3 linked regions of the Arabidopsis thaliana genome follow. The protein of the gene in region 1 interacts with the protein of each later gene in a pairwise test. Each region holds a gene or a part of one and is shown in the gene's direction. Other genes may lie near its edges. The genes, in order: AREB3, SNRK2.4 and AFP3.

Region 1 (7,487 bases):
GGAGAAGCATGTTGATGTAGCCAATCGAATTAGGGAAGTAGCTGATGAGGACCCTGTTCATCGGAAGATCTTTGTGCACGGTCTTGGTTGGGATACGAAAACAGAGACGCTTATTGAAGCTTTTAAGCAGTACGGAGAGATCGAAGATTGCAAGGCTGTGTTTGATAAGATCTCAGGGAAATCTAAAGGTTATGGCTTTATTCTGTACAAGTCTCGTTCAGGTGCTCGCAACGCACTCAAGCAGCCTCAGAAGAAGATTGGTAGTCGTATGACGGCATGCCAATTGGCTTCTAAAGGACCTGTCTTTGGTGGAGCTCCTATCGCTGCTGCAGCTGTTTCAGCGCCTGCTCAGCATTCGAACTCGGAGCATACTCAGAAAAAGATTTATGTTAGTAATGTCGGAGCAGAGCTTGATCCACAGAAGTTGCTGATGTTTTTCTCAAAGTTTGGAGAAATTGAAGAAGGTCCTTTGGGTCTTGATAAGTATACTGGGAGACCTAAAGGTTTCTGTCTCTTTGTTTATAAGTCGTCTGAAAGCGCCAAGAGGGCTTTGGAGGAGCCACACAAGACTTTTGAAGGCCATATCTTGCATTGCCAGAAAGCTATCGATGGTCCCAAACCGGGCAAGCAGCAGCAGCATCACCATAACCCACACGCCTATAACAATCCTCGTTACCAAAGGAATGATAACAATGGTTATGGTCCGCCTGGAGGTCATGGACATCTCATGGCTGGTAACCCAGCTGGGATGGGTGGTCCAACGGCACAGGTGATAAACCCGGCCATTGGACAGGCCTTGACAGCTTTATTGGCATCTCAGGGAGCTGGTTTGGCTTTTAATCCGGCAATTGGACAGGCTTTGTTGGGTTCCTTGGGGACAGCTGCTGGTGTAAACCCAGGGAATGGAGTTGGAATGCCAACTGGTTACGGTACTCAAGCTATGGCACCGGGGACAATGCCTGGGTACGGTACACAACCTGGGTTGCAAGGCGGTTATCAGACTCCGCAACCTGGTCAAGGCGGTACAAGTAGAGGGCAACATGGTGTCGGGCCATACGGTACTCCTTACATGGGTCACTAAATGTATCATGTATCCATCCACTCAGGTAGAGCAATGAATTTCCCTTGTTTAATTGTTGAAATGTCTTTCCTCAGTATATATTAACTTACTGATGTCTGAAGACAAGAAGTTTCTGTGTATATCCACATGGTTTTTGTTTGCATTGGAGTTTTGGGGGATTTTGCAACGGTTGTTAAAGCATGTTACTTCTCTTATTTTCTTAAATTCATTGTGCAGATATCAGAAATCAGTGTTTTAATATTGGCCTGGTGATTCTTCTCAAGTTTATAAGGAGCTGATGCTAAATGAAGTCTTTATGAAATGTTACTCTTTGGTCACTCCTAAGGCCAAACTCATAAAAAACCTTTTAAGGAGTTTTAGTTTTCATCTACTTGTTTTTCCCAAACTCTCTTTATGAAATTCCTAAAAAAAACTTTGTACTACTATTTTCAGTGTTTATGTCTCTATTTTTTCAGTTTTCTGAATATCCCCCTTAGACTTTCATTTGTAAAACTAAAAAAGCGCAACTACGCTCCATGTGGGTCTTTGCTTATCGAACTCTAGTTTTTCCTAAATAGTTTTTATTGACTTCTCTGTTTTACGATTTCATGTGTTTTTCTGCCTGCAGTGTATTTTGTACCAAGTTATCTTGATTAACCTGGCTTTATGTACTATCCTGATTTTATGTTTGTTCAATTATTCCTCTTGCAGGTAATTGACTGCGGTTGAACAGCCAGATTATGTACCCCTAACTGTCAATGAAATTTCTTTAGCACACATATACTAATCTGAATGCAATTGGTTCTGAAATGATCAAAACTTGGAATTTTAAAATGCAGCAGAGCTCTCTCACTTGTGTTTTTGGATTTTCTATGACAAGTTTCAAAAGTTTTTACAATGACTATTTCAAATTAGAACTTTGTTTCCAAACTTATTTGTCATAAAATTACTAAGTTGCAGCCAACTTGGAACAGTCAAACTTGGTGGGAAGTGGTGCAAGCTTCTCAACGACACAGCTGAAGAATGATCTTTCTGAGGCAATTTCTCAATATTTGAAAAGTGGAAGCTATCGAATAGAGTTTCTCGACAACAGGCAGTTAAGTCTTTGGATCTCCACAACATGCTTGCAACTAAAAGGTAAGTTCAAAGTGTTGAGTATCTTCTTTGGCTATATACAACGTGCTTCCAATTGAAGGGTAAGTAATCAAAAGTGTTAAAAGTATATCTCTCAGTGCGAATCTCTTGCCTATATATGTTCTTGTTTATTGGTCCTAGTCCCTCTTTGAAGTGATAAAAGTTGGTTTTGGTCTAGAGAGCATGTACCTTCAGGTCCTTGTGCACAAGGTTCAGGGATTATTAGAAAAGTCACAAGAGTACGAGGTGATATATTATTTCCCTTAATGTTTCAGAGGAGTTTATAAAGGCGTGAATGCATAAAGTTTTTTTGGTGATGATTGCTTTGATGGTGAAATCTCTTTTTGGAAAAGTGCAGCTTTGAATATTATTTATGATGATGATACATAGTAGAAGGGTTCATTGATGATGAAGAAGAGAAGCAGAATATGAAGCTGAAGTGGAATTGGGGGAAGTAAGTAGTAGAGTTTTGTGTATTTGATCTCAAGTCAACAATCTCTCAATTGTTATGTCAAGTTTCGAAAAGGGAAAAAGGTCCTTCATTGATGAAGAGAATCCAAGATGCAATATTCTTCAAAGCCACATTCAATGTTCATAAAACCCAATCTGAGATTGGATAATAGAAAGTATAATTAAAGGTTTGAGATTTCAATATTGCAAAAAAATACATGTAAATTATTGCCTAAAAATGGTTTAACATGATTGCAGATTAATTTATAGTAATCACTTACCATTTAAAGAGAAACTCATAGGCATGAGGATTAGTGTTGAGAGCCAAAGAACATAAACATGTATATGTATAACCTTTTCTGATTAAAGTTTGATAATCAATCTACCTAAATTCCCATTGAAGCTAAATGAATGAAGGGTCTCCGAGCACATGTAGTGTTTATTGATTCCACCTTCATTTAAGTTAATCACTAATCATTAAGTGTTTAAACAAACCTCTGTTTCTTATTTTGATCGAAAGTTTGAGAAACCATTTTTGGGCAACTAAAAAAAGAAGAAACGCATTGAAAATTCCACAGGAGGCTTGAGAGGGGGGCATTGCCACAGTATCGAGTGTCACTTTCTCAATCAAAAGGTTTTCTCTCTCTTCTCTTTTTTCCTCTCCTGCGCGAAAACAAAACGAAGAGAGAGAGAGAGACTCAGACACACACAGACACAGAGTTTAGGTTTGCTTTGTAAATCTGTCTCTGCACTTATCATAGTTTCGTTTCTCTTTTGAGAAAGAAAAACCCAAACTTGCCATGTTTTAGATCTGGTCCTTTTTAAGCTCCAAAAGATTGTTGCTTTTTCTCTTGCTTAAGTTTTTGATTTATTCTTCTTCTTCGAAAAGTCTGTACCTCGCAAGAGTTTGATTGTCCTTGTGTTGCGATTTCCATGTTTAGTATCTGCATTTGATAGCCTTCGATGCTGCATGCAATTCCCAAGACTCTTTCTGATTGCTACAACGCCGTGATTTCTCTCTGCCATTTCCTTCGATTTGATTTCTGGGTTCTCTTCTTCTCGTCTCTCTTCTGCATGTTTCGCCACTCTACCTTAGAAAAAAGGTTACTTTCGCCTCCGATTTAGGCTCGATTTGATGAATTCGTCGTCGTGTGGCTATTTATCAAATTGAGCATTAGGGTTTCTGATTTGTGGGTTCAGAATTGTTTTTATCTATCTGTCTTGTTGTTTTTTGTCCGCTACAAAAGCCTATGGATTCTCAGAGGGGTATTGTTGAACAAGCTAAATCTCAGTCCTTGAATAGGCAAAGCTCTCTTTACAGCTTAACACTTGATGAGGTTCAAAATCACTTGGGGAGTTCTGGTAAAGCTCTGGGAAGCATGAACCTTGATGAGCTTTTGAAGAGTGTCTGTTCTGTTGAAGCTAATCAGCCATCGTCTATGGCTGTCAATGGTGGAGCAGCTGCTCAGGAGGGTCTTTCTCGCCAGGGGAGTTTGACTTTGCCTCGGGATCTCAGCAAAAAGACTGTTGATGAGGTTTGGAAAGACATTCAGCAGAATAAGAATGGAGGTAGTGCTCATGAGAGGAGGGATAAGCAGCCTACACTTGGGGAAATGACGCTTGAAGACCTGTTGTTGAAAGCAGGAGTGGTCACTGAGACTATCCCTGGTTCGAACCATGATGGTCCTGTTGGTGGTGGTAGTGCTGGTTCAGGTGCTGGTTTAGGGCAAAACATTACTCAAGTTGGCCCATGGATTCAATATCATCAGCTCCCATCAATGCCACAGCCTCAAGCATTTATGCCCTATCCGGTTTCAGATATGCAAGCAATGGTGTCTCAGTCTTCTTTGATGGGTGGTTTGTCAGATACACAAACTCCTGGAAGGAAGAGGGTAGCTTCAGGAGAAGTTGTAGAGAAGACTGTAGAGAGGAGGCAGAAGAGAATGATAAAGAACAGAGAGTCTGCTGCTCGTTCCCGAGCTAGGAAACAGGTGAGAAACAACTAATTTGTTGTTGTTATTCTTCTTGTCAAGTCATGCTCGTTTTTGTTTTAACATTGGATATTGATGAGCAGGCTTACACTCATGAGCTAGAGATCAAAGTTTCACGGTTAGAAGAAGAAAACGAAAGACTCAGGAAGCAAAAGGTAATGCATTGTAGGTTTTTCTCCCTTTTTACAACACATGCATTGATTAAATTTGTGATTACTAGAAACTTGTAAGAGCTGATCGTTGATTAGTTCTGGATTCATATTAAAGGGAATGATAGATGATAGAAGATGTAGTGAAGTATAGAATAGGGCACACGCATAGTAGACAATATATGATAGAAAATATAACCACGAACAAGAGACAGGAGGAATAGGTTTAGACCAAACGTCTTAGGAGACATAGTTTTCCTTTACCCGGAACAAGTTGGTCTTGCTGGTTTCTAGTCTTCATGGACTTTCTGTTCTTCAATTTTGTCTGCGTTTATGTGTGGCCAAAGCTAATCCTTACATTACTTTGCAGGAGGTGGAAAAAATCCTCCCAAGTGTACCACCGCCTGATCCCAAGCGGCAGCTCCGACGGACAAGCTCGGCTCCTTTCTGATCTCTAAACTCTTTTTGTCTTTTTCTTTTTTTCTCTTCTGTGTCGGTTCACTTATAAAAAAGAGAGGAAAACAGCTTTGTTTCTTTGTACATTCCGTAGACTTTCTTGACTTGGAGCAATTCTGTTAACTTTAAAATATTCTCGAGTTATTGTAGTAGCAGACTAGCAGCAGTAATGGTTTTCATGAGTCCGATTGAAATTCAGAGATTGAACAGAAGGAACTTGTGTTTATTATTCTTATAGCATTTGATTGCAAAGTGTAAAGAGTTATAGACAAAGTCTAAATGGATCACACTGAAAGGAAAATTGTTTAACTCTGCAAAGCCTTCTTCTTGTAGGCCACTTTTGTTCTTAAATGTAAACTTTTAACTCAAATTCATCTCAAGAATTTGTTTGCTATATGTTCTGCAATAGCCAAGCTTGAAGTTAAACCAGGTGATTCGATGCCAAAGAGATTAACAAGACCAGGAACTCCATGAGTCTCCTCTCCCTGCATCAGGAACACACAAGACTCTTGAGGATAACAAATGGTTTCATAACAAAACCGAAGATTCCACAGGACCTAATGCTGTGAGTGTAGTCTGATGCATTTTGATAAACAAAAGCTTACCTGTATGACAAAATCTGCAGGAGACTGTTTTGGCCCGGAAAGCTTAGGACGGATGCCTGAATAACCCGGTTCCAATGATCCATCTTTGAGATCCGGATAGTACTTTCTGATCTCTGGGTAGAATTTCTCTGATCGTTGTGGGTTTACACGATAATCAAACCTGAATACAAACAGCATGAAGATCTTGAGTAACTTCAAAATGGACTAAATAGAAAGGATAATTTAAGAACAGATGCAGTATTTACTTGTTGAGGAAGCTTGATGTATCATCTGTGCATTCAATCCATTCTACATCAGGTCCAAACTTAACAAGTCCGTTCAAATCTACAGTGACATGGACACCGAGACCTCCTTCCTCAGGTATAGGATACACAAGTTTATTAAAAGGTGGAGCCTTTATGCCCGATAGTGTAAAGTAGCATCCACGAGCATAGTGAGACGAAGGAACAAATCGATGATCTAAGCCATGTAGTCTCTTTGCTAGAGCTTGAGCACCTAATCCCGCAGAGTTAACAACAAGATTAGGGATAAGCTCAAGCTGTGCTTCTGCCTCACACCGAGATTCAGAAAATCTGGTATCAGCAACATACAAATGCATCTTCTTTTCTTCAACACGACCGTTTAAAACCACCGTGTTGTACGAGAAAGTTGCGTGGTTGTTCTGTGCTTCTCCCTGTAGTCTCAAGTTGTTGTTATCCCTGTAAACCATGAAATCAAAACTCTTTTCCTAAAGACAGAACAATGAAGACCCTATATAGAGAGCTGGGGAAAAGTTTATTATATATACCACTAAAGATAGCATGAAGGAATGTGTATCAAGAATGCCAGATTCAGGAGATAGCAAAGCTTTAACACAACGAAGCTGTGGCTCCATTCTCATAGCTTCAAAACCTTCCAACATCCTTAGACCCGAGACTCTATTCTGAGTTCCAAGATGCATCAATAGATCTAGTTTCGGTATCTCAGAGGATCCCGTAGCAACGATAAGCTTACCAATCTTCTTATGAGGGATTTCATATTCAGAGCAGTATTTATACAGCAATTCCCTCCCTCTTACACAAAACTTGGCCTGCTCAAAATCCAAACAAAACTCACTATTGAACTTACCAAAACACACATCTGATTCGATCCTCAAGAGAAAGATTGTACCTTTAGAGAGTTTGGTGGATAATAGATTCCGGCGTGGACGACTTCACTGTTGCGGGAACTCGTCACGGTGCCGAACGATGATGCGGCGTCGAGGATCAGAACTTCTCTGCCGCGGAGACTGAGCTCACGCGCCACCGCTAAACCTACGACTCCGGCACCGATCACTACGGTGTCAACTCTCTCTTTAGCTATCGTTTCAGCTCCACCGCTTATTCCTCTCACAATTGTTTTACTTGCGTCAACGACGTTTATCAAGTTCCAAGTTGGTTTTAGATTCCTCGTTGACAATCTCATCCATTTTCTACCCAGACAAGGTAGCATCTTCTTAGTCTGCAGCAAAATGCCTTCAGCACCACATAAATGGGTTTTATTCTCAACTCTCTAACATTATTACATTACAGGCTTTGTTTGCATTTGCAGCCCAAGCTTCGAGAGGCCGAATCAAGCTAAACGCCGCCGTTTCAGGTTTATGCTTCATCTTTCCTCATTTCAT
Region 2 (7,442 bases), on another chromosome or scaffold:
TGTGTTTAGGAGAAAGCCAATTCCGAAGCACAAAAAGGGGAAGAGAGAAGCCGTGAGGACCATGCACTTGATCCAATGTTTACCTGAATAAACCAGCATTTAAATTACTTGAATAGTTAGAGAGGAAAGTAACACTGGAGGGGTCCGCCAAGTCGAGTAAGTCATACCCCCGCTTCTTGAGTACATTCCACCGCTCACATAACCAGAGACAAAAGAAGTCAGAGCATAGCACACTATGAAAGTTGTGACGATTGCTCCTCTCCTGAAATAATTAGAATAAGAGGTGAGCAAAATCCAATATACAAGCCAACCGCATGTAGGGAAAACAACAACACAAAATTGGTCTCAAGAGAAAAGAATAGTGTAATACATACCCAACGTAGAGAGTTCCCACGATGGCCATTAATATGACAAGAAGAACCAGCAACGCCAACTGTGCACCTGTACCAACTACCGCTGAGAGCAGAACTAGACTACTTGCTGGCCTGAACACATCTCCATGCACAAGTTTCCAACCAGATTCTTCACTTACATCCCGTTCCTGTGCCCATCAATACTCACGTCAGAAATGGCTATGAAGCCTTGCATTTAGAAGTAAAGAAAGAAGTGTTGGACAGACTGCTAGAGAGTATTAACAGCTAAAAAAACAATTGTGCAACTAATGACAAATAAAAGTTGAGGAAACATCACCAAGCTCTCAAGATCATCATCTTCTCTAGCATACTTCGCATAATCATTTCTGAGAGTCCTCATCAATATCATTGAGACCAAACCGGTGAGGAAAATAACCATCATGAACGAGTTAAAGATGGAGAACCAGTGGATCTGCAAAAAGAACAAACTCTCAGAAGGCTTATAAAGCTTGAACAGAAATCTTGAAGAGATGGAATATAGAACTTTGGTAGATTCTTGGAAGAATAATTATGGCTTGCACTTATGAACAAGCATGAAATGGGGTATTCAGTGTGATACATTATAAACCAGTGAACCATTTGGAATCACAGACAGTAGCAGAAGGGTACAAGACTAATTCATAGCATGCTAAAAGTTACCTGGTGTTCAAAGAACGGATAATCCAGATATACGTCAAAGCGGCGAGCAAATGTGACATTTGTTGGAATCCATTGCACAGAATACGTCAGGTCCATTTTTTTCCCTGCTTCCAATGGCCTTGGGTTGTCTTGAGTGAGATTAACATGAATGATCTATTAAAATAGATACATAAGATCACAGATGTAGTTCACATGATATCCATACTATTGCTTAATGGCGTGGTAACAACCGACCTGGTCTTTGTTGTATTTGACAACAATGTTCTTATGTGTGTAAAGAACATGCTTGCCGTTTTCACTATTTTTGTCAGGATGCAGCTCACCCACAAAGCCTACAACAGCAATGAGACAGTATTAAAACTATATAAAACAAACAAAGAACATAATAAATTTTGGATGTTTCAAGTAAATATACAAAGTTCATACCCCACAAAGGTAGATCATCTGAAGTTAGAACCACCCGATGAAAGTCCACGCCAATCAGATGCCACAGAAAAAGGTGAGAAATAAGGTTAGCAATCCAAAGAAGTTATGTAAGATTATATATCCTACAACATCCAATGCCGTAAATGATATTGGTAATGCAGTGAAGTTAGATATCGGAATAATTTAGATTTGCATGATGTAAAAATGAACCAAAGGAAAACTCAGCAGATACAAAATGTTTCCAAACTTTACATAGTAGGAAATTGCAACATCATAGATAATAAATCAGCATTATTTTCATGAATTTCAGTGGTAATATGTACAACAGACGTGAAACATACCCATAAAAAATTCGAACCAGTAGCTAGATTCAATGGCATCTTTAAAATGCTTGACCTTAGCTTCATCGAGTTCAAGCGGACAGATGACACTTCTCTCGACATTCTCTGTGGAAAAAACAGAAAAGGTATTGTAACTAGAGAATAAGTACGAATGTACGATAACTGTTAACTAGTATGAAAAAGAAGCTTGTATAAGAATTGAAACGTACTCATGAATTTTATCGCAATCTCACTGTCAATCAGCTCATTTCCACCTAGAACTTCACCAAGACCACCCCATTTGTGAACATTGTTTCCAGATGGGCGGCAAAATGGAAGACTGTAATAGTTGTATGTTTCTTGTGGATTGTTATATGGGCCAACTTTGTTTACCCATAGGGTGACCTGCTCCTCGGCTTGATACTGAAAAAGGTGAAGGCAAAAAAAATTGACTTGACAGAAAAGCACAGAAATGTAAAAGTTTATGGGATTAACTAGTAAGAGAGAGTAAGAACCAAAATTCCATTAGAGAGAACAGAACAAAATGTCAAACGTAGACAGACAGATACTGATAAAGGCTACGTTCAATATCATTTCAAAAATCAGGAGTTAAAGTCTTCACACAAATGATGGTTCCATAGAAATAATGGCTCTTGAATAATGCTACCAGATTGCTCTTGAATAATGCATAACCCGCCTTTATCTATCATCTTTCACGCAGAAAATATATAGTTGGAATCGACTTTAAATGTCACACTACTTGCGAGCGTAAGAAGGCAGAGGAGCAAAAGCATTAAAGCTAGATCTCATGATCTCCAATATCACAAAAGGCAATAACAATTTTGAGCTGAAACTGACCATCAGCAAAAGAAGCCATGTGTGACACTTTCAGTATCACATTTTAGATACCAATTGAAAAAAATCATCAACCCGACCTCGGAACTATAAGATCTACATCTCGAAGATGCTAATACATTAAATGCCACTCAATTACAACACAACTCAGTGTTGATCCAAGTATTTGAACATCAAACAGGCTACCACGTGCAGAAATCAACGAGAATCTCAAACCAACATCAAAATTTCTTATTAAAATCGAGATTGTGAAAAGCCTAAATCACAATGAATAGACAAAATACGCCTAGACTTGCAACGAAAAGATACGCCTAAATCACAATGAATAGAAGCTCGAGGATCCTAGCAATCCGTAAACGAACAGATCCATGAAAAAAAATTCAATCGCAAACACCATGCAAATCACGGATCTACGGACACAGTGCTCGATTTCGAGCTGCATTAAAAGAAAAGAAAAAACGACTGGAGATCCGAGTCTTACCTTGTGATCTGAATCGGATGCGAACGTAGGAGTGAGAAGGGAAACGAGAAGAAGGAACACGAGGACGGCGGCGGAGGAGGAAGACGGCATCGTGAAAACCGGCGGACGATCAGATCTGAGGAAGGACGGAGCGAGAGATACCAATCGAGAGAGAGCGAGATCCTCAGCTCAGTGTTTTCACTTTGTAGAGATTTTGGGTAATACAAAAACAACGATAAGGCTTACAACTTCTTTTTTGCTCTATTAATTAATTGGGCTTGTAGTACTAAGAAACGTATATTAAGTTTAAAACCCATATAAGGTCTTTTAATGTTTGCTCTATTAATTGATTGGGCCTTTCGTTCTAACAAGTGTATATTAGTTTAGCGGCCCATATAAGGTCTATTAATGTTTTCATATACGCGCACGAACTATGTCATTTCAATTAAAATATACACTCACACATGGGAACATAACTTCTTCTTTTTTTGTATATATGTTGAAAAATGTTAAAAGTAGATGAAAATCATGACATAAATTCATTAAAAGGTTACGTTTGAGTGACAATCTTCATAGAGAAAAATGTGATTTATGGACAATGACTCTCTCTATATAGAACCAAAAGAATCTAAGGCGAATTTGCTTGCTGCTGACCACTCGTGTCGTGTAAATAGTGTATAGTTGAAGTGTTGAATTAGGGAGAAAAAAAGCGCGTTGGTGACAAAAAAAAACGTAGTTATACACTCGAATCAGCAAGGGAAACAAACATGTATGGATCGCATGGAAACTTGTGGGTCCCTCTTTCTTTTAAAAAATCTCGTATTAATTAAATAAATGGAAAAAAAAACATGATGGGAGTTTGTTTAGGCAGGGGAGATTCTTCTTCATTCTCATCATTATTTCTCTATTAATTTCACCCCAAAAAAGAAAAAAGAAAAATTCCAACAAGAAAAAAAAAAGAAAAAGAAAGTTGATTCTTCGCTTAGGCTTGAAATCTCTCCAATCCAAATCTCAAATTAACCTTCCATCGTCATCTCTTTCCCTTTTTTTTTCCCACTTTCTTTGCGAATCGCGAGATCTCGGAATCGCATCCTTGATTTTGGGATACTGTTTTTTTTTTTTTTAATCTTGTTTCATTTTCACGTGAAATTCTTAGCTGCTAGAACTGGACTTGAATTTCAACGAGAATTTTGGAGATTTTTTTTTTGTTTGGGTTTTTCCTTTCTGTTTTGTGTGTTTGGAATTAGGGTTGTCGAGCGAGAATGGACAAGTACGAGCTGGTGAAAGACATAGGTGCTGGGAATTTTGGAGTTGCCAGGCTCATGAAGGTCAAAAACTCTAAGGAACTTGTTGCCATGAAGTACATCGAGCGTGGTCCTAAGGTATATTCCTCTCTGTTTTTGTGTTTTCATTGCTCTCCATGAGCTGGTGATCCTATACCCAGATATGCATAATTGGAATGAATTGCTATTAAGCAGAAGAGTCGATTTTTTTTTGTAAATTTCTTATCGTTAGCTGATTGGGTGTTTAACGTAACGTTAGTTATCTTGTAGTTGTAATATTTTTCCTGAAAAGATTTGTACAATGAGTATTTGCTTTGTTTGTTTTTTTTGATACAGATTGATGAGAATGTGGCAAGAGAGATCATTAATCACAGATCACTTCGCCATCCGAATATAATCCGGTTCAAGGAGGTTAGTGAATTTCTTGTTGCTTGACATGGGTGGTGTTCTTGCTATGAAAAAGTTTGTTGATAATCTCTTATATCTTTCATCTTGCATTCCTTGTTGGGTTTATGGATTTTATAGGTGGTGTTGACTCCAACCCATCTTGCCATTGCCATGGAATATGCTGCTGGTGGTGAACTATTCGAGCGTATATGCAGTGCTGGAAGATTTAGTGAGGATGAGGTGAGCTTGCCATTTGAAAAATTGTGCTGTGCTTTTGCGAATATGAAATTACTAGTATTTAGGATAATCTGCATGGTCTTTGGAAAGATTAGGAGGAAGGGAACAAGAGAAAACATGTGAACCTCCTTTTATTTAGTATCAGGCATTAAACAGTTAGGGTCTACGTTCTAATCCTTTCTCTCTTTTCCAGGCGAGATATTTCTTCCAGCAGCTTATATCAGGTGTTAGCTATTGCCATGCTATGGTAATGTAGAGACAATGACTTAAGCAAAATTTACTTATCCATTGGCTGTTTGAAGTCGTTTTTTTTTAATCATGTGTTGACTATTTTGTTGCAGCAAATATGCCATAGAGATCTGAAGCTCGAGAATACGCTCTTGGATGGAAGTCCTGCTCCACGTCTGAAAATCTGTGATTTTGGTTATTCCAAGGTCTGACACTAAAAAAAAATCCAAGTTCCCCCCTTGTCGACGAGATCCTCTTTTGTGATTTGTTATTCTCTTTTTTTTAGTCCTCTCTGCTGCACTCTAGGCCCAAATCAACAGTTGGAACTCCAGCATATATTGCACCTGAGGTCCTTTCTCGAAGAGAATATGATGGCAAGGTAATCAAGCATCATGCACAATGCAATGAACTTCCATAAACCCATGAGTATTTATGATATTGTCATGCTCTTTACATTTTTACTTTTGAATTTAAAAAGTCATCTTTGTGGAAGTCGCTAAGATTTGAAGCATTTTTTCTTCTTTCAGATGGCTGATGTATGGTCTTGTGGTGTGACTCTTTATGTCATGCTGGTTGGAGCATACCCATTTGAAGACCAGGAAGACCCCAAGAACTTCAGGAAAACAATACAAGTAGGTTTCTTTTTTGAAGCCATGTATCTGCATATCTCGCTTTCGCCACATCCTATTCGTCAATGTGTGATCTTGTTATACAGAAAATAATGGCTGTCCAGTACAAGATCCCGGACTACGTCCATATCTCACAGGATTGTAAAAATCTCCTTTCCCGTATATTTGTCGCCAATTCACTCAAGGTATACATCAATCAACTGAACTAAATGTTTTCAAAGATGCCTTTTGATTTTTCTGAACAATTGAGCTACTTGTTGTTTCGTAGAGGATCACCATTGCAGAAATCAAGAAACATTCATGGTTCCTAAAGAATTTGCCAAGGGAACTCACAGAGACAGCTCAAGCTGCATATTTCAAGAAAGAGAACCCAACCTTCTCCCTTCAGACCGTTGAAGAGATCATGAAGATAGTGGCTGACGCCAAAACACCGCCTCCTGTTTCCCGATCCATCGGAGGTTTTGGCTGGGGAGGAAATGGGGATGCAGATGGAAAAGAGGAAGATGCAGAAGACGTGGAGGAGGAAGAGGAGGAGGTGGAAGAAGAGGAAGACGATGAGGATGAATACGATAAGACTGTAAAGGAAGTACACGCAAGTGGAGAAGTGAGAATAAGTTGATATTTTGGTTTTTGGTCTGTGTAAGAAAGAAGTCGTCGTTGGTTTGTTGAAACTGAAAAGTCTCTGTTCTCGTGTTTGCCTTTACAATGCTTTGGCTAAGGTTTTGGTTCTGGTTTTGGAGATTTGTAAAATTTGCAGTATAAGATGAACAAACAGAGAGGTTGATGATGAGAATGAGTCCTTTGCTACGCATGGTACTATGAACATTGTGACCTCCAATAAATATTTTTGTAAATTAGATTTTATTTTCCGAAAAGATTCATGTATTTGATTTTTGGATTTCTTATTTTTATTTTTTTTCGTTCCTTATCATTTTTTTGAAAATGCAAATCTATAAAATACAAATGTCAACAAAAAATCAAATTGAAATGTTCGGAATTCAAAAATAATTGTTTTCTTTTGTTTTTTTGTTTCTGATGCGAAATGTGAATATATTAGAGGGAAAATATCCCGCCATTAGGAAACCGGATAATCTTCTACGGCCTTGAGCTCAAGTCGGTGGTGGCCATTTTATCCTGTGCTTCGTCTCGCCGACTTCCCTGATTGTTTCGCCGCCGGAGTGTTAAAAGCAACGTTACAGAAGCAAGAGACTCCACTGAATCGAAAATGTATTTCCTGGCTTTCGTTTCAAAGTCATTTTTAGGGTTTTCGTTTTGTTCTTTCTCACACCGATTGCGTTTCTTCGTCCTACGAGTGTTAATATTTAGTTGTCGATTAGGGATTTCGTTTCGCATGGGTAAAGATTAATCCTTTAGACTCATGACTGATCGATTCACTTCAATTTCCTGTTTTTTTTTTTGGGAGTATTTTATTGTCTTCCAAGTTCTGAAATAGGTGGGTAATAACTAACCGATTCGTTGTGTCTCACTGGATTTGATAATTGTGTATGTATAGTCTCAGTGATAATGTGCAGTTTTTTCCTGTTCGTGTTTCATTATCATCAGCA
Region 3 (6,665 bases), 9.7 Mb from region 1:
AAATATTAAATTACACGTAACAAAAAGATTACAATTCAAATGATATCATAATTGATTAGTTCAATACCCATTATAAACACTCATTTTCTTTATCTGAATAAAAAATCGTTTTTTTCCTCTACACTTTCTAATTTGGTTGATTGTTTTGCTTATCTGTTGTGAAACAATGTCAACGTGTCAAACACCCACAGGAATGACGTCGATAGACCGAAACAATAAAGTTTGGGGTTAAAAAGAGTTAAATCTCTGTGAGGTCCACCATCTGATCTCTTGTCTGATTTCTTGCGTGTTTCTTTCTCTGCAGATTCTCTTCTTTCGTAAATTATTTTTCTTTTTGTTGTTGTCAATTTTCATACGTATCTTTCACATGCTTTGTCTTCCTTTCATTGAATTTATTCAATTTAATTATTTTGGTCTATTTATCTGCATTTATACATGTTGCAATATTTGCGTTTTTATGAGTTTGAACGGAGAGATGGATTGGTCCTAAGATGTCATCATTCGCTAGTTTGATGTAAATTCAACCAAATACGAATTAGTGACGATTTTGTGGTTGAAATTGTTCATAAAATCATTACAACATTAGTGATTTTATTGTTCTGACATCTAAATCAGATCAAATATACAAATGTTATGTGATATTGATTTTCTACTAGTTTTCCATGGCATTTCATTATAAGCTATTAGCAAACAATGTCTTTATTCAAACTGACTTTTAAATATAAAAAAAGTTAGAATTATTACTTGTATATTTTGATGCTTAACTTTTTCTTCAACTCGGAATAATTTAGAGAATGATTGAAGAGTCCGACCTTTCAAAAAACATACAAAAGTAAAAAATAAGTAGTGAAAAGTCCAAGAAAAAAGAAAAAAAAAACTATAAAAGTGTAATTTTTCTAAGAGAATCTATATGAGAATGACTGCATCGTCTTCATTCGAAATCCTAAAAAATGCGGATATCTAGCTCTGTAGATCTTTTATATTTACCATATTTTTTTTGGGACGGTCATCGATAGCCTAAGCACTCAAAGTCTGACGACCCAACGAAAGGTGGTGGGCTAGTGGTTCTAGTCTGGTGGAAGTGGTCCTGTTTGTTTAAGTCAGGGATCGATTCTCTCCATATGTAGAATTGCTTACTTTTATTTTTTTGACTATAAGTATAGACATGCTACTTAAGATCTATTTAAAAACCCGGAAGATATCAAATATATAGGATATAGGATACCCTCTCTCTAGGAATTAATCATGAACCTTTCCATAGGTTCAGAGATTTACCAGAAATTATAAAAAAAAATCAAAGTTTGAACTAACACTTATAAAATATATATTTCTAACCCGAGAAAAAGAGACATTGTCTAAACATGTAAATTTTATTAACAAATAGACGGATAAAGCTAGCAAAGAATTAGAGTGTGACAAAAAAATATTGAAAATATGATTGCTACTAGATATATTAATACTTTATAAAAACTTGTTATAAAAAAATATCCAAAACTATTTGACTTCCTATGATATTAGTTCCAAATAATTTAAATTTTAGATATTTAGATATTTGGTTGTCTGTATAGATATCTTCTTTTTCTGAACTGCAATGGATATATGCATTTATAAATATGATGACCAGAAACTTTTAAATTTGGATAATTGTTACCAATTTGGAAAGACATATCATAAAACAATTTACTTACAATAATAATAATAATAATAATAATCTTGTGGATAAATTATCAAAAATATTTTGCTCTATTTGCTATTTATTTCATGAACTCTTATATTCACTTCCTTTAGTTTTAACCAATCATTATGCCATGGCATATAATAATTTAATATAAATTAAAAGTTAGACAAACAAATAAAATAAATAAATTAAGAATTAATTGTAAAATCTGAATCATATGCCCTTTTTTATAAACTCATAACAACATATAATTTCATTAATTCTAAAATTTAAACTTTAACCACTTTTTATAAAGAGTAAATTTGGAAAAATGCCCTATTTTTGAGTTTTCATTTGAAAAATACCCTATTCTTTCTTCCTTTTTAAACAATTAATTTTTAATATATAAAAATACTAAAATAGCCTCATTAAAATTTAAGAATAACTTTTTAAAAAAATAAACTTAAAACAAAAAAAATTCATAAACTAAAATTTGATGTAACTAATAATTTTAAAGATAATTATTATCTAAGCTGATATATGATTTTATTTAATTTGTAAAAACTATAACGCAAACCACTCTTCTATAAACGTATATAAAATTTTTAGATATTTATATTTATAAATATGACTGCAGAAGTTTTAAGTTTATGATAGTTTTTAAAAAGCAATTATGATAGTTAGTAACAATTTAGAAACACGTATAATTTAATTTCTTTGTTTATTTTTCAAAAATATACAAAAAATTTATGTCAGCGATTTTATTTTATTTTGTATGGTATATGACTAATTTAAAAGTGGTACTAATTAGTATTATAAAAAATTATTAAAAAGTATTTTTAACCTTACGACTCTATTTTTTTACAAGTTACAAATGTTTCATAAAATTTTATTGTTAAAACACTATGATCTAAGATATTGAAACCCACGGTCAAAGTATTGCTAACATGGTCATTACATTGAAAAAGAAAATTAATTGTCTTTACTCATGTTTATTCTATACAAATAAAAATATTAACCAACCATCGCACTAACAAAATAGAAATCTTATTCTAATCACTTAATTGTTGACAATTAAATCATTGAAAAATACACTTAAATGTCAAATATTCGTTTTGCATACTTTTCAATTTAAATACATTTAAAGTTCGACAAGTTGCGTTTACTATCATAGAAAACTAAATCTCCTACCAAAGCGAAATGAAACTACTAAAGCGACAGGCAGGTTACATAACCTAACAAATCTCCACGTGTCAATTACCAAGAGAAAAAAAGAGAAGATAAGCGGAACACGTGGTAGCACAAAAAAGATAATGTGATTTAAATTAAAAAACAAAAACAAAGACACGTGACGACCTGACGCTGCAACATCCCACCTTACAACGTAATAACCACTGAACATAAGACACGTGTACGATCTTGTCTTTGTTTTCTCGATGAAAACCACGTGGGTGCTCAAAGTCCTTGGGTCAGAGTCTTCCATGATTCCACGTGTCGTTAATGCACCAAACAAGGGTACTTTCGGTATTTTGGCTTCCGCAAATTAGACAAAACAGCTTTTTGTTTGATTGATTTTTCTCTTCTCTTTTTCCATCTAAATTCTCTTTGGGCTCTTAATTTCTTTTTGAGTGTTCGTTCGAGATTTGTCGGAGATTTTTTCGGTAAATGTTGAAATTTTGTGGGATTTTTTTTTATTTCTTTATTAAACTTTTTTTTATTGAATTTATAAAAAGGGAAGGTCGTCATTAATCGAAGAAATGGAATCTTCCAAAATTTGATATTTTGCTGTTTTCTTGGGATTTGAATTGCTCTTTATCATCAAGAATCTGTTAAAATTTCTAATCTAAAATCTAAGTTGAGAAAAAGAGAGATCTCTAATTTAACCGGAATTAATATTCTCCGACCGAAGTTATTATGTTGCAGGCTCATGTCGAAGAAACAGAGATTGTCTGAAGAAGATGGAGAGGTAGAGATTGAGTTAGACTTAGGTCTATCTCTAAATGGAAGATTTGGTGTTGACCCACTTGCGAAAACAAGGCTTATGAGGTCTACGTCGGTTCTTGATTTGGTGGTCAACGATAGGTCAGGGCTGAGTAGGACTTGTTCGTTACCCGTGGAGACGGAGGAAGAGTGGAGGAAGAGGAAGGAGTTGCAGAGTTTGAGGAGGCTTGAGGCTAAGAGAAAGAGATCAGAGAAGCAGAGGAAACATAAAGCTTGTGGTGGTGAAGAGAAGGTTGTGGAAGAAGGATCTATTGGTTCTTCTGGTAGTGGTTCCTCTGGTTTGTCTGAAGTTGATACTCTTCTTCCTCCTGTTCAAGGTACATTACCATAGTTTTTGTGATCTTTCATGAGTTTGTTGAATTTGGATTAAGAGATGATTTTTTTTTTTTAAATCTTCAAGATTGAGTTTTGCTTGTTTAGATCTTTGATTATTGATTAGGGTACACGACATTGAATCTTCTTTTGGATGTAGTGATATCAACATATCATTTTACGATTATTAGATTCCCTTAGGATGGATTCATTGTGTGGCATTGTGATTGGTTTGTTGTGTTGTTAGCGTTTTTGAGTCTTTGGCTTTTCGTTTTATTTCGTGTCTTTCACTAGGTATCTTTTAGGTGTCTTAGAGTTCGATTTTTGGCCATTTTAGGTATTGTTAGTGGAAAGAAACAAAGTTTGGTGCGTTGTAGTTACTACATTGTTTGTGTTTCCATTCCAAGGGAAAAAGTATGTTCAAAAATGCACAATGTATCAAGGGATTATCGATAATATTCGAAAGCAAACATTGTATATCTTCTAGGCTTTGCAAAGTTTTTGTTGTCTTTTGTTTAGTGTTTTACTGAAATACTTACTTGTGTTTGAAGCAACAACGAACAAGTCCGTGGAAACAAGCCCTTCAAGTGCCCAATCTCAGCCCGAGAATTTGGGCAAAGAAGCGAGCCAAAACATTATAGAGGACATGCCATTCGTGTCAACAACAGGCGATGGACCGAACGGGAAAAAGATTAATGGGTTTCTGTATCGGTACCGCAAAGGTGAGGAGGTGAGGATTGTCTGTGTGTGTCATGGAAGCTTCCTCTCACCGGCAGAATTCGTTAAGCATGCTGGTGGTGGTGACGTTGCACATCCCTTAAAGCACATCGTTGTAAATCCATCTCCCTTCTTGTGACCCTTTGGGTCTCTTTTGAGGGGTTTGTTGTATCGGAACCATGTTACAAATCCTCATTATCTCCGAGGTGTATAAACATAAATTTATCGAACTCGCAATTTTCAGATTTTGTACTTAAAAGAATGGTTTCATTCGTTGAGATTAATTTTAGACCTTTTTCTTGTACAATGTTTAGTCTTTGAGATAATATACCGGCTTGTCTAATTTAAGTGTGATACATATTAAAGATTGTCACGCTAAGGTTAAATTATTTAAAGAGGATCGTCTTCGTTTCTTATATGTTTTCTATTTTCTGTTGGTGGTGATAACTGTTTTTCTTACATCAACGACGAAGATTTGCCAATACTTGGACACCCTTCAACAGAGCCGGCCCAAGATAAATTCTTCCCTAAAACAAAATTTATTTTTGGCCCATCATTAAATATAATCTACTCTATTATTTGAAACGTACATTTAATGAGGTGGGCATTTCGCAGAAATAACAAGTTTGTCATTGAGTTAAAATTTTTCTATCATGAAAAACCCGTTTAAAAAGACGCGGATCCTTTTGACCCGAATTTTAAAATAACGGGTCATAACTTCTAATCTTAGCCATTCAATTGATTTTTTTTTAGCCGTTGATTTTCTCCAGTAAAGTTTTGAAACCCGACCCGGATGATGAACCGGACTACCTTCTTGGTCACCGGGTCATCGGGTCAACCGGGTTGGACCACGGGTCAATTAGTTAAAATTTATTTAATAAATTTAATATTAATAGAAATTTTAGAGTATTTTATAAATATATATATATATATATTTTTTTAGTATTTATAAATATAAAACAAAATAATCATATCATGTTTAAAAAATATAAAATTATATTATGTTTACCAAAATATAAAATTATTTACACCCAAATATATATATATATATATATATATATAATCAAACAATAATAATAAAGTGATTAAAAATTTTAAATCCAACTAAATGTCTAACACCGTAACAAATATAGTAGGAGATCACCAATGATAGAAATAAACTAATAAAACATCGTGAATTCAAACAACTAATCTCAATTGTCTCTCTCACCATTCGATTCATTTTTAAGGCGGTATTGTAAAGTCTTCACCAAAATCTAAAACATCGAATGAATTTAAGAACTGAAAAAACTTTTAAAAATAATTGAATAAAGTCTAAAATCCCATATTTTACTGCAAAATCAAAAAAAAAAATTAAAACCCACACCCGGCCGGTTCAACCGGTTCACCGGGTCACGGGTTAATTGCGAGTTTTTGAGGGTTTTTTCGGTTTTGAACTTATCGGGTTTTAGCACTAAACCCAAACCGGAAAACTAATTATACTCCTATATCAATACGGATTTATAATATTTATTATATTCTAAAAGATTAATAATCCAATCAGATAATTTTTAAAACATTTCCTAATTAAATATAACAAATCGGTTTTATATATATATAACATTATAAATATCGAATTAATATGTTTGAATTCGAAATTAGCTTAAATATTCTAAATTTATTTAAATAACTAGAAAAACACTTTTAACTAAACTATTTTTTTATGTTTGATAATTAAAATATAAAAATATGTTTAAACATTTTAAAATAAAATGAATTAAATTTTCGGTTTATATTAATTTCTGTTAATTAAATTAATTGAATTCCTTTTTCAGCAACTGAATCATATTAATTGAAAATATTCAATGCGTATATTTCTTTCTTGAATTCGAATATATCACTTCTCCATAATTATAGGTAATCAAATATTTAGTTGGATATTCATTTTTGAATTAGCATAAAGTTTCTGAACAATTTCCATAATTAAATAACTACTTAT

Evidence for each region.
Region 2: the proteins of AREB3 (region 1) and SNRK2.4 interact in a two-hybrid assay, tested with the Arabidopsis thaliana proteins (one large-scale study listed by BioGRID).
Region 3: the proteins of AREB3 (region 1) and AFP3 interact in a two-hybrid assay, tested with the Arabidopsis thaliana proteins (one large-scale study listed by BioGRID).

Annotation. Positions count from the first base shown.
Region 1 is NC_003074.8:21,044,302-21,051,788, reverse strand, and holds AREB3 (ABA-responsive element binding protein 3), read left to right. Parts: upstream 1-3,174; 5' UTR 3,175-3,894; coding exon 3,895-4,635; intron 4,636-4,718; coding exon 4,719-4,790; intron 4,791-5,154; coding exon 5,155-5,235; 3' UTR 5,236-5,555; downstream 5,556-7,487. Other genes in the region: UBA2A (UBP1-associated protein 2A), read left to right, coding at 1-1,081; AT3G56840 (FAD-dependent oxidoreductase family protein), read right to left, coding at 5,612-5,725, 5,846-6,005, 6,091-6,518, 6,633-6,914, 6,995-7,324, 7,389-7,472. UniProt on the Arabidopsis thaliana protein: Binds to the embryo specification element and the ABA-responsive element (ABRE) of the Dc3 gene promoter. Could participate in abscisic acid-regulated gene expression during seed development.
Region 2 is NC_003070.9:3,655,104-3,662,545, reverse strand, and holds SNRK2.4 (Protein kinase superfamily protein), read left to right. Parts: upstream 1-3,937; 5' UTR 3,938-4,375; coding exon 4,376-4,495; intron 4,496-4,732; coding exon 4,733-4,807; intron 4,808-4,921; coding exon 4,922-5,023; intron 5,024-5,115; coding exon 5,116-5,139; intron 5,140-5,213; coding exon 5,214-5,267; intron 5,268-5,361; coding exon 5,362-5,454; intron 5,455-5,534; coding exon 5,535-5,627; intron 5,628-5,775; coding exon 5,776-5,880; intron 5,881-5,963; coding exon 5,964-6,062; intron 6,063-6,145; coding exon 6,146-6,496; 3' UTR 6,497-6,733; downstream 6,734-7,442. Other genes in the region: TMN1 (transmembrane nine 1), read right to left, coding at 1-83, 168-262, 375-541, 691-825, 1,053-1,205, 1,287-1,384, 1,479-1,496, 1,820-1,924 and 2 more.
Region 3 is NC_003074.8:11,380,577-11,387,241, reverse strand, and holds AFP3 (ABI five binding protein 3), read left to right. Parts: upstream 1-3,096; 5' UTR 3,097-3,584; coding exon 3,585-3,975; intron 3,976-4,521; coding exon 4,522-4,826; 3' UTR 4,827-5,028; downstream 5,029-6,665. UniProt on the Arabidopsis thaliana protein: Acts as a negative regulator of abscisic acid (ABA) response and stress responses.